Elephas maximus indicus: one gene and its partner. Each later gene encodes a partner of the first gene's protein in a complex. Links are inferred from orthologs where the notes say so. Each region holds a gene or a part of one and is shown on either strand. Other genes may lie near its edges.

Evidence for each region. The genes of interacting proteins can lie anywhere in the genome.
Region 2: NUP98 (region 1) and NUP153 share a complex: the UniProt entries of both Homo sapiens proteins name them as parts of the nuclear pore complex. The link is inferred for Elephas maximus indicus from reciprocal best matches to the Homo sapiens genes NUP98 and NUP153.

What each region holds. Positions count from the first base shown.
Region 1 is NC_064825.1:53,106,414-53,114,005, forward strand, and holds the start of NUP98 (nuclear pore complex protein Nup98-Nup96), read right to left. Parts: upstream 3,016-7,592; 5' UTR 2,829-3,015; intron 1-2,828. Other genes in the region: PGAP2 (post-GPI attachment to proteins factor 2), read left to right, coding at 3,423-3,430. UniProt on the Homo sapiens protein: Plays a role in the nuclear pore complex (NPC) assembly and/or maintenance. NUP98 and NUP96 are involved in the bidirectional transport across the NPC. May anchor NUP153 and TPR to the NPC.
Region 2 is NC_064819.1:63,114,004-63,121,931, forward strand, and holds the start of NUP153 (nuclear pore complex protein Nup153), read right to left. Parts: upstream 3,081-7,928; 5' UTR 2,550-3,080; coding exon 2,433-2,549; intron 1-2,432. UniProt on the Homo sapiens protein: Component of the nuclear pore complex (NPC), a complex required for the trafficking across the nuclear envelope. Functions as a scaffolding element in the nuclear phase of the NPC essential for normal nucleocytoplasmic transport of proteins and mRNAs.

The sequences.
Region 1 (7,592 bases):
CATCTCATGGAGGATCTTCCTCTTTTTCACTGACCTTCAACTTTACCAGAAACCCTGGTGGAGTAGTGGTTAAGAGCTACAGCTCCTAACCAAAAGGTCGGCAGTTAGAATCTATCAGGCACTCCTTAGAAACTCTATGAGACAGTTCTACCCTGTCTTATAGGGTTGCTATGAGTCAGAATTGACTCAACAGCAGCAGGGTTTTTTTTGTTTGTTTGTTTCTACTTTACCAAGAGTGATGTCCTTCTCCAGGAACTGGTCCCTCCTGATAACATGTCCAAAGTACAAGAGACAAAGTCTCATCATCCTTGCTTCTAAGGATCATTCTGGCTGTACTTGTCAGAATGGCTGAGTAGTGTAAGGCACCAGACTCAAGGTGCACACCTTGCCTGCAGGCATTCCGGTCTCTGAATGGAGGCATGGGCTCTAATCCCACTTCTAACACAATCCGTGCCTCTAATACCTATTTTTAAATCTCTAAATTTCTAAATCCCCTAATCTTTCAACAAACTGCATAATTACAGATATGCTCTTTATTGGAAATAAACATCAGAGCTACTATCCCTTACTTCTAGGTTAACTGTCAGCAAATAAATAATATAACTGATAATATAATACAATAAAATAATACGACCGATTTTTTCTAATCTGCCAGCAAGTTTGGTTCCCTAGAAATTCTACTTGCTCTTAGCTATCCAGGAAACCCTGGTGGTGTAGTGGTTAAGTGCTATGGCTGCTAACCAAAGGGTTGGCAGTTCAAATCCACCAGGTGCTCCTTGGAAACTGTGGGGCAGTTCTACTCTGTCCTATAGGGTCGCTATGAGTTGGAATCGACTCGATGGCACTGGACTAGGTTTTTTTTCTTTTTTTTAAATCTAGGAGCTAACGGACATGAATAAATTCAGGTACCAAAATAAAAATTACACATTATATAAGCTATATCAATTCTCTTATCTGGGCCTCACATTTCAGAAGCATGTAAATACTCAGACTCTCTTATGATTATTTTTAGGTAACTCCTCTGTATTTGTTTATTCATTCAAGCAAACACATGCTTGGCTACTACATGCCAAGCAACCTGAATACAAAGATAACAACATTTTACCACTGTATAATAAAAAAAATTAAACAGCTAAAATGCAAAACTGTATGTGCTATAAACAGAAGTATCAAATAAGTGTTATGGAAGCTTGAGGGGGATAGAATGCCAGGAAAGTCTTCCCAGAAGAAAGCAATGCTTGAACTGAGAAAATGTCACAGAAAACACACACTGTCCACATCTTAGTATTTAGACTACAGCTCTTGTCTGCTCTCATACACTACGAAATTTTTCAGTTTTTGCTTTGTCATATAAACAAGAAGTAACAATCTGACTGACTAGAATAGACCAAAGGGGCAAAACTAGTAATTCCATTTCTAAATCTTAAATAAACAGTAAAAAATAATAATTTTATCAAAGTATTTATGTCCATTACCTCCATCCTGTCCAATGTCTGGCTTTGATATCCTAACTTCTCTCTCCAAGTAAACATACCATCTGTCACCCAGTTAACAAATATTTCTTTCTGAATTTATGAAACTGCCAAGAGAATAATCCTTGTTCTTTTCTTGCAGTTAGCTGCTTCTTCCAAATCGGAGTTTAATTCCCTCATTTTATTCTATCAGAATACTTTATTTTGAACTTTGCACCAAACAGGAACCATGGAGTTCCAAGGTACAAGAATTACAAAGTGACCGCTGCCTAGCTTTATACGTCTTGTCTATACTTCCCAATGCTGTTGTGGGTCACTAACTGGACTCCTCAGAATCCACAGTCGCTAACACGGGTCAAAAATTCAGATCTAAAACGGGAAACTAGCCAACGACTTGTAGTTTTATCAATTCGTTTCCAATACATAACACCACAAACGTTCTTTAATCAACTTTTAAGGTTAGTTCCCTTGGTCTAGGTAAGGGTACCACTAATGAAGCTTCTCTCTTATTTTGAAGAGATAGCAACACTCAAATTCAAAACGCTCTTTAAGACTACATCTACTCCTAACTATCGAATATCTCCCCTCCCCATCCCCGGAATCCTCAATAATCAAAGACTGACCTCCCAGGAGGGTGTAGTAAAAAATTTCTAGACTGAGTCTGGACGTCTGGCTAATCCCGTCCTTTCTCTAGGCCTCGGTTTCTCCATCTGTACAGCTTGCATGTGATGCAGGGGAGTGACTAGCTCAAATAATTTCTATATAACTATCCAGGAACCCAATGTTGTTTCTCATCTGGCTTTACACGGAACACGTGGGAGAACAGAAAATAACCCTGTACTCCACTGAACCGATCCTAATTCTCAGATATTATCTTAGAAAGCTAGCAAACTCCCAACACACCCACCTACCACCTTTGTCTCGTGCAAAAGACATGGCAAATGAAACCCATTTCTGCACCAACGTCAAGAAAGTCTGGGAAGATCATACTCAGGGTCTTAAGGCGAGGCCGGCCCAGCGCCGGCGCCTATCACCGCCAAGCGTATGAATGAGTAAAAAAAACCAGTACAACCAGCTAAATGGATGCTCTATCCCCATGGGCTGCAACTGGAGACCACCCCCTCCCCACCCCCACCCCCGGTCCAGACCCCACCACATCGATTCCCTCCCAGGGCCCAAAAAGCTAAGCCTGGGGGCCGCAGGATCGTGGGCCCCGCCCCCTCCCTCAGGGTAGAAGGTGCGCGACGGGCGCGAGACTTCGGCGCTGACAGGGCCTGGGACGCCCCGCGCAGCCGCCCGCCCTGAGGGGAGGAGCCTGCCGGCCCCCGGCCGCCGCTGCTCCGGCTCCCGACTTACCGCGATGCGGTGGGCGAGGGGAAGTGTCAGGAGTGAGAGCCCAGGCCCGTTCGCCACCCGCCGCTCTCTGAGCAGCGCGCGGCCGCCACGAAACCGTCGCCGCCACTACCACCGCTACCGACCGCCGCTCCGGGCGCAAAGCGCAGAGGGCCCGACTGCGTCACACGCCGCCTGCCGTCAGAGGCTCGCTCTGAGCGCTCCGCCCTCGCTGTCTGAACATTGGCAGACGAGGCCGCCACTCTAGGCCCGCCCTGTTATTCATTGGGCAACTAGTCTTTTGAAACAGAACGTGAGGGCGGTCTTCGGGAGAAGGGACAAGTGGGAAGAGGAGGGGCATAAAGAGTTAGAGAGAGGAAAGGGGAGGAGCGGTGGAAGGGATCATGGAGTCCCGCCCCCACACTGCCGCGGTTGGCTGGGAGAGAGTCGTGGCGTCACATAGGGCCCCTAGAAGTGGGCTGGTGACTGGCTAGATTGGGGTGGACCGGGCGGGGTGTGGGAGAGGAGTGGTGACGCCATACCGACGCTCCTCCCCTTCTTTGGGGCCCAAAGACTCCGGCTGCGGAAGCTCGGGCCAATCAGAAGGAAGGCTCCAGGATGGCTTGGTAACTATTCTACCCTTCCGTCGCCCCCCCGCCCCCCAGGTCCGCGGGCGGTGATGGGAAGGCTGCCCTGTCGCCTTGCTCACACTTCTTGGCCATACCACGTGCGGAGCTAGGTCTTTCCCGGGAGGTCCGTCTGTCGGAAGAACTTGCCTGCGACGGCTCTGAAACCCCAAATCGCGGCCCCCACATCTCTTGACCCATGCCAGCAGTAGTACACCCTCTCTGAACCTCAGTAACCTCTCGTAAAAGAGAAGGGGGAATTATATACGCTGGAATAGACTTTATGAACATTTGAGATGCCCTAAGGAAATAGCCCAGCATAGAGCTTGGTACAAGTGAGGATTCCAGGGACTTCGTTCCTGATAACAGCTACAGTTAAAAAAAAAGCCAAACCCATTGCCATCGAGTCGATTCTGACTCATAGCAACCCTATAGGACAGAGTAGAACTTCCCCCTTAAGATTTCCAAGACACAGACTGCCACATCTTTCTCCTGCAGAGCGGCTCCCTCGTGGTTGGAACCGCGGACCTTTCGGTTAAGGCATAACCACTGTACCGCCAGGCGTCTTCTCAGACAACCCTAACTTATTCTTAAGAGCCGCGTTCAAATGTTCCCGCCTTCGCTGGGATACATTTGCCAACCTCACCAAGCAGAGTTGGACTAATGTTCCTAACAGGCCTCAGTCACTGTATCCTATTATTTACTTGCCTGTCCTCTGTGCCCAGAACAGAAAAAAACTTGATGACAAGGAGGAGAGGTGAGCAATGTTCTAGAAACTGGATTGATCTAGTGGCTGAGGATCTCATACAGAAAAGCAGGGGCTGTGCTCATGCTCAGAAAACGTCTTCGGACTACCCTCCACCACCACCTCCATCAATGCAAAACTGAAATGGGCTCTGCCCAAAGCATAGGTGAACTTAAATCCTGAGTTTTTAATAGTAGAAAGGGATATTTGATTAATTTGTCAGAAAGTGTCGTGGTTGTATAGATGAAATAAGATGATGGATGTGCTTAAAGGAAGATAAAAAATATACATTGATTGCCAAATAGTAAAGCTGGTTTAAGCAGCTAACTCGAGCCACCTTCCTTGAACTCCATCCAAACATCCCTCCTTTTGTCTCCATCCCCCCCGCACCAGGCCCCCCACCTGTTCCTACTCTCTCGGCTCTCCACCCCCCACCAACACCTTTGCTGTACATCAGAAAGTCATAAACTCTCCAGGAATAGTTACTGTAGCTTCCTCACTGCCCCCCTGAACCTTTGATTTCTCCTCCTTCATTCCTCAAGCACAACTCTGTTCAAGACTTTTCTCTACTAATTTAATTTGGAATTCCTAGGATTAGGCAAGGAAACCCTGGCGGCGTAGTAGTTGAGAGCTATGGCTGCTAACCGAAAGGTCAGCAGTTTAAATCCACCAGGCAATCCTTGGAAACCCTATGGGGCAGTTCTACTCTGTCCTATAGGGTCGTTATGCGGTATCAACTCGATAGCAACGGGTTTGGTTTTGGTAGGATCAGGCACAGAGTAGATACACATTAGATGTTTGATGCATGAATGAGTGAATTATTTTCTACAGTGAGGAAATCATAGTAAAAATGTTGGGCTTTAGAGTCAGAGAACCCTGGGCTTAAATCTGGGTTTAACTGTGTGAACTTAGACACATTTCCTAACCTCTCTAAACTTCAGTTTCCTTGTCTGTAAGACGGGGATAACAACTGTATTTGCCTCACAAGGTTGTTGTGAGAATTAAATGAGATATTACATATAAAGCATTTAGCATGGTGCCTGGTACCTAATAAGCCCTGAATAAGTGTTAGGTATTGTTTGTATTCCTTAATGTCAAGGAGCTTCCATTCTTAACTCTACATACTCTTAAGACATGGGGTCTGATGCAGAGAAGAGGCTCAGAAATACACATCAGGTATGCAGGAGCTGGGATCCTTAAATAGCACACACTTGTGGGGAGAGTGGAGGTGGACATATTGGACAAGGAGTGCTTCAAGGAGGAATTTCCTGAGACCATGGTGATTTCTAAGTAGTATTGTTTGATACTGTGATAGACATATAGCCCATTCCCAGGGACCTTAGGCTGGGAGAGGATTTTTTTGTGGATCCAGGGCTTCCTGGGCCCACATATTCCTACTCTGCCTAACTCTCATAGCATCCTTTTCAATTTTCATCTTCCTTCTTCCACTCTAAAGATAAGCATTTTGATACATGTTTTCAAAAGCTTGCTGAGCCAAGCCCTGTTCTGAGCATCAGGAGCCCAGAGATATCCACAGATCAACACCCTACACTGATTAAGAAGGACAACTGAGGAAAGTCTAAGCGCAACAAACTTGGAGTAAAACAGAGCTAGGTTCAAGTTCTAGATCTGCTACTTTTTAGAGTGTGCACAAATTATTTAATTGTTCTGTGCCCTAATTTCTTTGTTAAATGGATACAATAATTGCTACTTGAAGGTCAAAAAAGATAAAGGAATTTGCCAGAGACTGGGCACATGTTTGATTCATACTGATTCTCTTCCTCCTCACCTGTACCTTGATAAGGAAGGTTAAGTTTTGTAAATAATGTTGAATGAATAATTTCTTTTACGAGGATCAGCACAAAGCTGGTTCCTGTGAGGTGGAGGTTAAAGATGCCACACATGTCCAACTTTTTTCCAAACTACTGTCCTACTCCGTCATCTTTAACATGAACTGCTCCTTTTCCTCTTAGTACTGTTCCTTCCATCCTTGGGTTCAGTAATTCGCTGCAACATCTCACAGAACTCAGGAACCATATCTTAAGGAAATAGCTCACATGGTTATAGAGGCTGGCAAGTCCCAAATCCATGGGTCAGGCATCAGGCTGGAGGCTTCTCCAGACCCACGTGGCTGCAGGGGCTGACAAACCCAAACTGGCAGGTCAAACAACAGGGTGCTGGCTCACAAATCTGTGGAAGTTGGCAAATCAGGTCAGACAATAGGCTGCTGGCTGAAGGGGCTGTGAAAGCTGGCAAATCCCAAAATCGGCAGGTCAGAGATCAGGCTGCTGGCTCAAGCTCCAAGAATCAGACTTTAGATGATCATGACCGAAATGCAGGATCTAGAGTGAGAGAACTTCCCCAGAGCATTCATATATATTTGATGCAGACCACACCTTCAAGGAAACTCCCCTACTTGAGAAGGCAGTGACTTGAGTCATGCCCTTTAGTAAGGGTAGTAACTGGAGTAAGGGTGGTGTCTTGAGTCACACCCTCTAGTAAGGTGGTTAAACCCAAAAAACCAAACCCACTGCCATTGAGTTGATTCCAACTCCTAGTGACCCTAGAGGACAGAGTAGAACTGCCCCCATAGAGTTTCCAAGAAGTGCCTGGCGGACTCTCAAGCTATATCCCTAACCCTGCCTCATTAACACAACCACAGGCATACAGGCTAGGATTCACAACGCATCGTAAAAGGGAGGATAATTACATCAGATCACAGAATGGAGGACAACCATATAATACTGAGAATTATGACCTAGTCAAATTGACACACAACCCCAACCAGCACAGGTTCTATACACCTTAATTGCGTAGTTGCACTCAATCATTGTGTGTGAATCACAGAAACTATGGCTAGAAGGGCCATATTGAGCAATTCATTGTACTGCAGGCCACCTCCTAACTCTTCTAGTCATTGGCCCTTTCATACTTGAAGGATTATGTTTCCCCTCCCAATCATTTTACAAGTCCAAAACAGGTATTAGCAATTAGTCTTTCGGTAGGGCAAACAGTCCTCAGCATGAGGTTTCTCAGGTACCAGCCATTCAGGTTTGCTGCAGGTGTCCATATGATCTGGTCAGGTTCTCCAAAAGTCATCTCTACCTTCACCCTTTCTGGCTTCTGATAAAATTTATCTGAGAGATTATTCCCTTGCTCTCAGTCTCTCTTGAGGTATCAGCATAATGTTATATTTCCCCTACTGCATAACTCATTTATTCGTTACATTACCTTCAGCTATTACTTCTCTTTCCCTTCATTTGACCTTTATCTTTACTCAGACTTTTTCACCTTGGAAAGGGGCATCAGGCCCAGCTGCTATGCCAGTCCAGATTGCTGGTAGCAAGACCAGTCTAGCAAGTGCTTCCCCCTTAGTTCACTCCCATTCAGATTGGGTAGGGTTACATAGGAACAATA
Region 2 (7,928 bases), on another chromosome or scaffold:
GCAACTTTAAGCAAGATGACATTTTAAAGATGAGAAGGTGAAAAGAAAAAAATGCTAGCCTTTAAGTATTTCCCAGCAGAGCTAAACCAGAAGTCAAAACAGGAAATTACAAGTCAATTTAACACATGCAAGAGTCTCAGGTACTGTCTGACTACACTAGCTAATTGGCCTGACAAGCAATGGCAAACAGCCATTAACTAACAGTGCCAGGCCTCTCATTCTGGTTCCAACACTCTACTACATAATGAAAAACTTCATTCCTGCTCAGAAACCCTGGGTCACTTAAATAACATTAGTACAAAACATGCCATGTCATGAAGCGCCTCGATATTCATGATGACTCAGCAACTGCTGCAAAACATCCAATTTGACAGCTTAGGGTAGAATACAGCAAGCAGGTAGTTCACAAAAGTTTCAGTAAAGACTAAGGAAAAGCCCTTAATATAAGATTAAAAAACAGATAAACCAGAAAGCACTCTTCTGTATATACCTGAATACTTTTCTTTGGTAGTTCCTGCCAGTATTAAATAAAACATGTAGTGTTGATCAAGAAATCTCAAAACATCTTTAATCCCAATTCAAAAGCTAAAAATACATATATATTTTTTAAATAAATCAAGCAGCTGGGGCAAGAAGCTTAAAGTATTTTAGATAGGGAGCAATGATAATTTACGAAAATTTAAAACTTAAAAACTATACAGCCTGAAATCGTATCAATTCTAGGGCAGTTTAGATCACAGGCATTCTGTTAAGACATTATTTCCTCAAAATTAGATTCTTATCTAAGTAAATTTAAAAATAAACTGTGATTACAACTTTCGCTGCCTGGAATATATTAACTCCCTTCTAAACTCTGTCCAAACTTTTTATTCATCTGTATTGAAAACGTTTTTCTATGTGTAGTAATTTTCTTTTAAGCAAATCGTAGAAAGCACTGAGATATTCTATAGGAGAAACAGAAAGCATGTATGTCTTTCATTCTACAAAAGAGGCTTAAGTTAAATGGTCAAGGCTTGTGACCTGAATTCTAGCATTAAATCTGCCTACAAGTACCTGTTCCTCACAAAGCCATGTGAAAACGAGGCACTTTCTGTACATATCCGTGGAAAAACTAGCAGGAGATAATAGTAATGCCAAGCCTTCTGACTATTAGAGACCTACTTGGTATAATACATAATCCACAATTTTTACTTTCAAAAGTTCTCCTCAAATCTGTACTTAATGATACAATTTAACACCACCAACAAACATGTTAAAGTGTTCATTATTATCATGCAAAATAAAGCAATCTAGGAAGTCTACCTGACTGTATGCAACAAGTTATTACACCCTTTTGCTATACTTTTGTTTCTAACAAGTTTAAGACACACACTTCCCACCTTAGTGTCAATCAGTTTTATAAGTGGCTTTATTAAAATAGGTATTTGGTATTTTCTGCTCTACCATCCGCCAACACACAAATAACATTTAAAAATGGAATTTTCTCAGAAACGAATGTCTCATTTATACTTAGGCTAAACTCCTTATAATTTTTAACACCCAGGAGTGTACACGGTGATTAAATTATAAGACCACAAACATTCCTAGAGCGTCAAAAGTCCTTAAACTTTTAGAACACGCCCCATAATATTAAAATATTTTGTGTATGAGATCAGAAATGGAATCCTGGTCAACTGTGGAGAATGGCCAATTCTAGTTTCCAAAGTAAAAGGAGGAAGAAAAAAAAAAGAGACAGGTGGGGAGGGAAGAGCCGCGCAGCGCAGAAAATACGTAAGGGTGGAGAGGGACTTTCAAAATGCCCCAGTGCCACGGTTAACTATATCCCGGTTAAGAAAAAAAAGTTGAGCGAATGCTCTCAGATTGAGGACGGACAAGGGCGGCGGAGACGGAGAATTAATCAATCGGCTGAGAGTATATTATTCCATTTTCCGTGTAACAGCGCCCCCCAGTCTCCCGTGAGTCCAAGAAGCCGATTCCTCGGAGCAGCCCCCTCCCCACACACTGAACCGCGGGAGACTAGAAAACGCACAGCCCGCGTAATGGGCTCCGGCCGCATCTTTTCCTTTCTCCCTCGAGAGGCTGTGAGTAATACCTCCAAATCCCCAATCCCCGCCAAAAAAAAGAAAGAAACGCGCGCACCGTGGGCCTAGAATTTCTTTTCCCGCCCTGAGCCTGCCGGGGAAGCCCCTGACCCAGAGACTATGCGAGAGGCGGCCCAAGCCACACATGTGCGCCGCACGGCTGGGCCTGTCTCAGCCCACTTCCCGTCGCCACCCCAGCGGCCTGAGCTCCCGCCGCCTCAATCGGGCCTTCCTCCGGCCCTCCCATCCGATCCACGTGCGGCGGGTGTGGGGAGCCAGAGCCCCGCACTGCCTGACCCCTCTCGCCCAGCCCCCGACCCGTTAGGCCACCGCGGCGTCGGGGTTCCGTACCTGGTGCTGTTGTCGCCCCTGCGCGTAAGGCTTAATTGGCCCCTGGTGACAACGCCGCGTCCGGATCTTGCCACCGCCGCCGCCGCCCCCTCCTATTCCTCCGGCTCCCGAGGCCATGGTGGAGCCTCCGCTGCTTCCCGCTCCGCGGCGGGTAAGGGGGGCGGGAGAGGCAGAGGCGACGGCCTTAGAGCCCCCCCCGCCCGGTCCCGGCCCAAAAGTCCGCCCGCGCTACCCACACGGTGGGACACAGGCACACCAGGGACCTCGAGGTTGCGAGCAGGAGGGGAGAGAGGGTGCGCGCTGGCAGAGGGGGAGGGGGTGGCGGCGGCGGAGGCCGAGGAGCTGGCTCCGGTCCGGCAGCCTTCCGCGGTCCCCCGCCTCTGTGTATGTCACGGTCTCTATGGAGATCTTCCGCAGAGGACAGTGCGAGCGGCTCCGGGCGCTGCTGAGGCCTAACTCGACCGCCGGCTGGTAGGGGATCTTCTTCCGTCGCTCTAGCCGTCGCTGCCGCAGCTGAAGCCGCCGGCGCCGCCCGCCTACCCCTCCCCTCTGCGCACAGCGCCCGCCCTGCCGTCGTCGTCCCTGCAGTCGCCGCCGCTGTTGCGCCTATTGCCGCTGCTAAGGCCGCCGCGGTCGCGAGCCAGGACACCGTCACTCGTTAGCGCCCGACGCCTATGCATCATCTCGCTGCGACCTGCGAGGGGAGGAGGAAGGAAGAGCTCTACGAGCCCGCGCTCTCGGCCGCGCGGTGCGCTGGGTAACGTAGTTCAGGAGGAGCACGTGAGTTCTGGCAAAGGAAGGCGCGGGGTGGTGGATCCGCCGAGCGCCGCAGAGGCACTGAGCGGGCGGTTACGTTCGTTTTCCTGCCCTTAGCTTTAGGCTTAGGCTCTGAAGAACCATTTAACATAAAAACAGTAAGCTCCCAACCACTCTACTTCTCCCTATCTAGCAGAAAGTAAGCAGAGGGTGAAATCAGCGACAGGAGCTAAGTGATATCTTTTAACAACAACAAAAACTCTGTGGTTGAAAAAGCAATGTCCAAAATCATTCGTAGGCCGAAAGCACAATTAGAAAATGTATACAGCTTCATTAAGGTCCTATTAGACATATACACAAGGGCTAGAATTCTGGCTCCCCCACTCAAAATCTCTGAACCTTGGCGTCCTCCTCCAGAAAATAACTTTTAAGTTCACCTTATAGAGCTGGTGCCTACAAGAAATGCAATAAATGGTGGCTATTATGATTACCTACGCAGCTCACAATAGAAGTAAAATGTATATTTTCAGTAATACAAGTGTGCATATGTATGTTCCAAATAAAAGGCATCGTGTTCAGGGAGGTAAGTGAGCATAGGCTCAAGATTGAATCCATACGTATGTAGAGATTCTAAGCGCTGACGGTTAGACAGGTCTTGATGATCACGTGGACCGCCCCTCTCAACGGACACCAAAGACTTCCTAGACAATTTGGGTGGTGCGTTCAAGGACACAGAGCTGGGCAGTCAAACCCAGAACTGTAACACAACTTTTGTATAAGAGTCAAGATGAGTAGTCAGATGATTAAAGAGAAAACTCTACTATTGTTCCATTTTGAGACAGTTGATTTTAAAGCTTTTAAGTAGCTTTGGAGTCAAATAGACTTAGTTTCAAATCTATCATTTACTAGCTGTATAGTCCAGAGGAAGCTATTGATCTTCTCTGTAAGCCTCAGTTTCTTTATCTGTAAATAGAATGAATTTTTATTTCAACAGGATGGTGGTTCTGGTGAAAGGGCTTATGTATTTATGTGCTGTATAATACCTAGTTTATAAAAACTACTGTGTAGAAAGCATTTAATATCAGTCAAGCTGTCAGGTACAAATCTTTAGCGCCAAGATTTTTATACAGTCTCCACCACCTAGCTGCTCAATTCAAAAGTCACTATATAAATCACATAAGTGAAATTGTGAAACCAAATTTATAGTACCTTTGAACTTGTAGTATGTTTCAGCACCTAAAAGAACTATGCTGTATAGGCATAGGCTTACAAAGCATATGGTTTTCAGAGGCATCTCTGACCAGAAGCACCAACACTCAAGAAGTTGCCAAATATGAAAAACAAAATTAATTTGTTTCCCTGCCCCAGCCTCGTGCCTTCACCATACCTAACTCCTCACTAGACTTTCTAGGTATACCTGCTCAGCACTTTACCCTTCTTAAGTACAATTGTTTCTCTTGGATGCTTTCCCCTCTTCAACTGAAGCCTGGTTCTTTTGTAAGCCTTAGCTAGGTATTTGACAAGCGGGGTGAAGTAATTCTGGATAAGCTAACTCACATGGAGAACCTCTACCTGAATTTCCTAACTGGGCTACATATATAGGAGATTGAACTGTAGCCACATCCCATTTTTCCTTTTCATCTACCAGACTCAAAATTTCCAGTACAAGACTATGGACTGGCTAGAGCTCAAAAATGATGTCTTTCTTGGAGGCGTGGGTCAGCCCTCACATTCAAGTTTTGAAAGCAAGGGCTGTGCAGAAGAATTGGGCCAAACTTCAGAATCAAAGATTGGTGGGATTTGAGAAGCTGTGGAAAAATACAAATTCCTTTCAGTTGTTTAACTCATTAACTCACAGAATTCATTTAACTCATTTCACATTTACTTTATTCCTTTGATGTAAAACAACATCCAAGGAAACAATAATACACTAGTTCCACATTTGTGTGACTGCATTTTTGGAAGCTTTACCAGGCAGTTTGAGAGCAGAGACAGAATAAAGGACAGGAGGGAAGCTGTGTTCAAAACTTCCCACTGCTCAGTTTTACCCTGACATAGTATCAGCCTCATTATGGGATGAGATGACTTCTTATTGCATGGTTTGGGATGTTAAAATAACATTATTTCTGTGCTGAGATATAGTGTAGAGTTCCAAATCACCATCTCACACATTTTTGGAACTCATTCTTCTGTTAGCAATTACGAGTAGTAGAATGAGTTATAATAAATTATTTTGATTGTAAAGCTTTAAGGAAAATTATAACAAAAGATCTGCCTGCATCCAAACAAACAAATAAATATTGAGCATTGCTCTAAAAGATACTATATATAAATCGGAAAAAAAGGTCAAATGGCATATAACAATAATAGGGGTTCTTGAAATCCTTCCAGCCATGTTGGAAATTAACAAGCGTTTGAGGAAGGAAATAAGTATTATTTAGTGCTTATAATTAAGCACTTTACATAGATAATAGGATTTAATTTCCTCAAAAACCTATGAGATATTACTATTTGTATTTCACAGAATCAGAAGCTACCATTTATAAATTTTGTGTTATGAACTAGCTGTCTCTTTCTTCATCCATTTCTTTCTATTAGTAACTTCTATTCCTGTCAGTCTTTAACCAGTAACCAAACCAACCCATTGCTGTTGAGGCGATTCCGACTCATAGCAACTCTATAGGACAGAGTTGAACTGCCCCATAGGGTTTCCAGGGAGTGGCTGGTGGATTTGAACTGCTGACCTTTTGATTAGCAGCTGTGCTCTTAACCACTACACCACCAGGGCTCCCAACCAGTAACCAACTGCCTTCAAATCAGTCACCACTCCTGGTGACCCCATACGCGTCAGAGTGCACTGGGCTTCATAGGGTTTTCAATGGCTAATTTTTCAGAAGTAGATCACCAGGGCTTTCTTCCCAGGTACCTCTGGGTGGACTCAAAGCCCCTACCTTTTGGTAAGCAGCCAAGTGAATTAACCATTTATACCACCAAGGGACTCCTTATCAGTCTTTAGGCCAAGTCAAAATTGGGATGGCTTTAGTAAGTGATCTTGTGTTTTGGGTTCTTTCATTGAGTAACTTTTAATAGAAACTTGCCCCCCCCACCCCACACACACACACACACACATACACACTAAATTTTAAGCTCCAAAAGGATAAGGAATTTTTTCCCAGTGTTATAACCTCAGCACATGGATCAGTGCTGACACATGGCGGTCTCTATAGATACTACAGTTCATTTTCCCAATATACCATTATTACCAATACAGCTAAACTCATTTATATAACCGGATCTAACCTGACCTGAATGTATTTGCTACATAAGAAATTAATTTTTTGCAATTCATGATAAAGCATGAATACCATGAATAAGTCCCTATGAAAGTGTTATATAAAGATTTTCATGTTATCCTAACAATCCTGAGAAGAATCATTATCCTCATTTTACAGAAAAGGAAACTGAGTCACTGAGGGGATAATAATAAATTGCAGCACTAATGAGTGGCAGAGTCAACGTTTAAAATGATTTCTCCACTCCTTACCCCAAAGCTCATCGCTTACCTTTACCATCATTCTACCACTTTTGTAGCTAGTTTAGGAACCCACCTACCATTTACAATATTTTTTATTTGAGAATATATTATTTCCAATTCAATTAAGAACAAAATGTTTTAGGAAGATCTCTCTCTGATGGCCTCCACACGGACTGGAATGTTTCGAGTCTGGTCCTACTGTATTGCAGAGCAAGAATAGACATTTGCTTAATGTGATGTGATAACCATGGAAAGACCAGACTCAGATAACTCAGTCAGGGTCACCTGAGAAGCAGGAAATCCCATCTTGGCACAAAGATAAGAGGATATTTTGTGGGATGGAAATGAAGAGTACACCACCAGGGCCATTTTGGTGTAAGAAATGTTGTAACCTATGAATGTCAGAGAGAAGCCATGTTAACAAAACCAATAAAATTCAACTATAGCATAGAGACAAAAAGAATTCTGTGAAGGATAAGGAGAAAACTAATAGCTATTCATTTTTAGACCAAGTGGCAGAAACTGACCAAAAAAGAAAAAAACACAAAAGGACAACAATCCCTACTTCAAATAACCAAAGATGAAAATCAAGAATAGATCAGCTGTATTTTTCTTACCTGGATTCAGTGTTGTCAGCCAAAACAAATGGCCTGTTGGGAGACATCTCAATTTATGAAAAGACTATTTACTACTAGGATACCCCTCCCCAAGAAACTTCTTTATTTTTCACCATATAAATGATAACTATCTGTGAATTATAACTTAGCAAATACAGAGGCTGCTGACCCTTCTCTAGTAGATAAGGAATAGTCACTAATTACAAATGGAATACAATTTAGTCCAAGCCTAACTTGGATTGAAAAATAGCCTTCACAAAGCAAAAGCAAAGAAGTTTCCTGGACACATCCCAATACTTTGAGGGACAGAGTAGCTGGGGCTGGGGCCTGGGGACCATAGTTTCAGGGAACATCTAGGTCAATTGGCGTAACATAGTTTATTAAGAAAATATTCTACATCTGGCTTTTGTGAGTGGTGTCTGGGGTCTTAAAAGCTTGTGAGCGGTCATCTAAGATACATGGATTGGTACCATCCCACCTGGAGCAAAAGAATGCAGAAAATCAAAGACACAAGGAAAATATTAGCCGAAAGGACTAAAGAAAGGACCACATGAGCCAGAGACCTCACTAGCCTGAGACTAGAAGAAC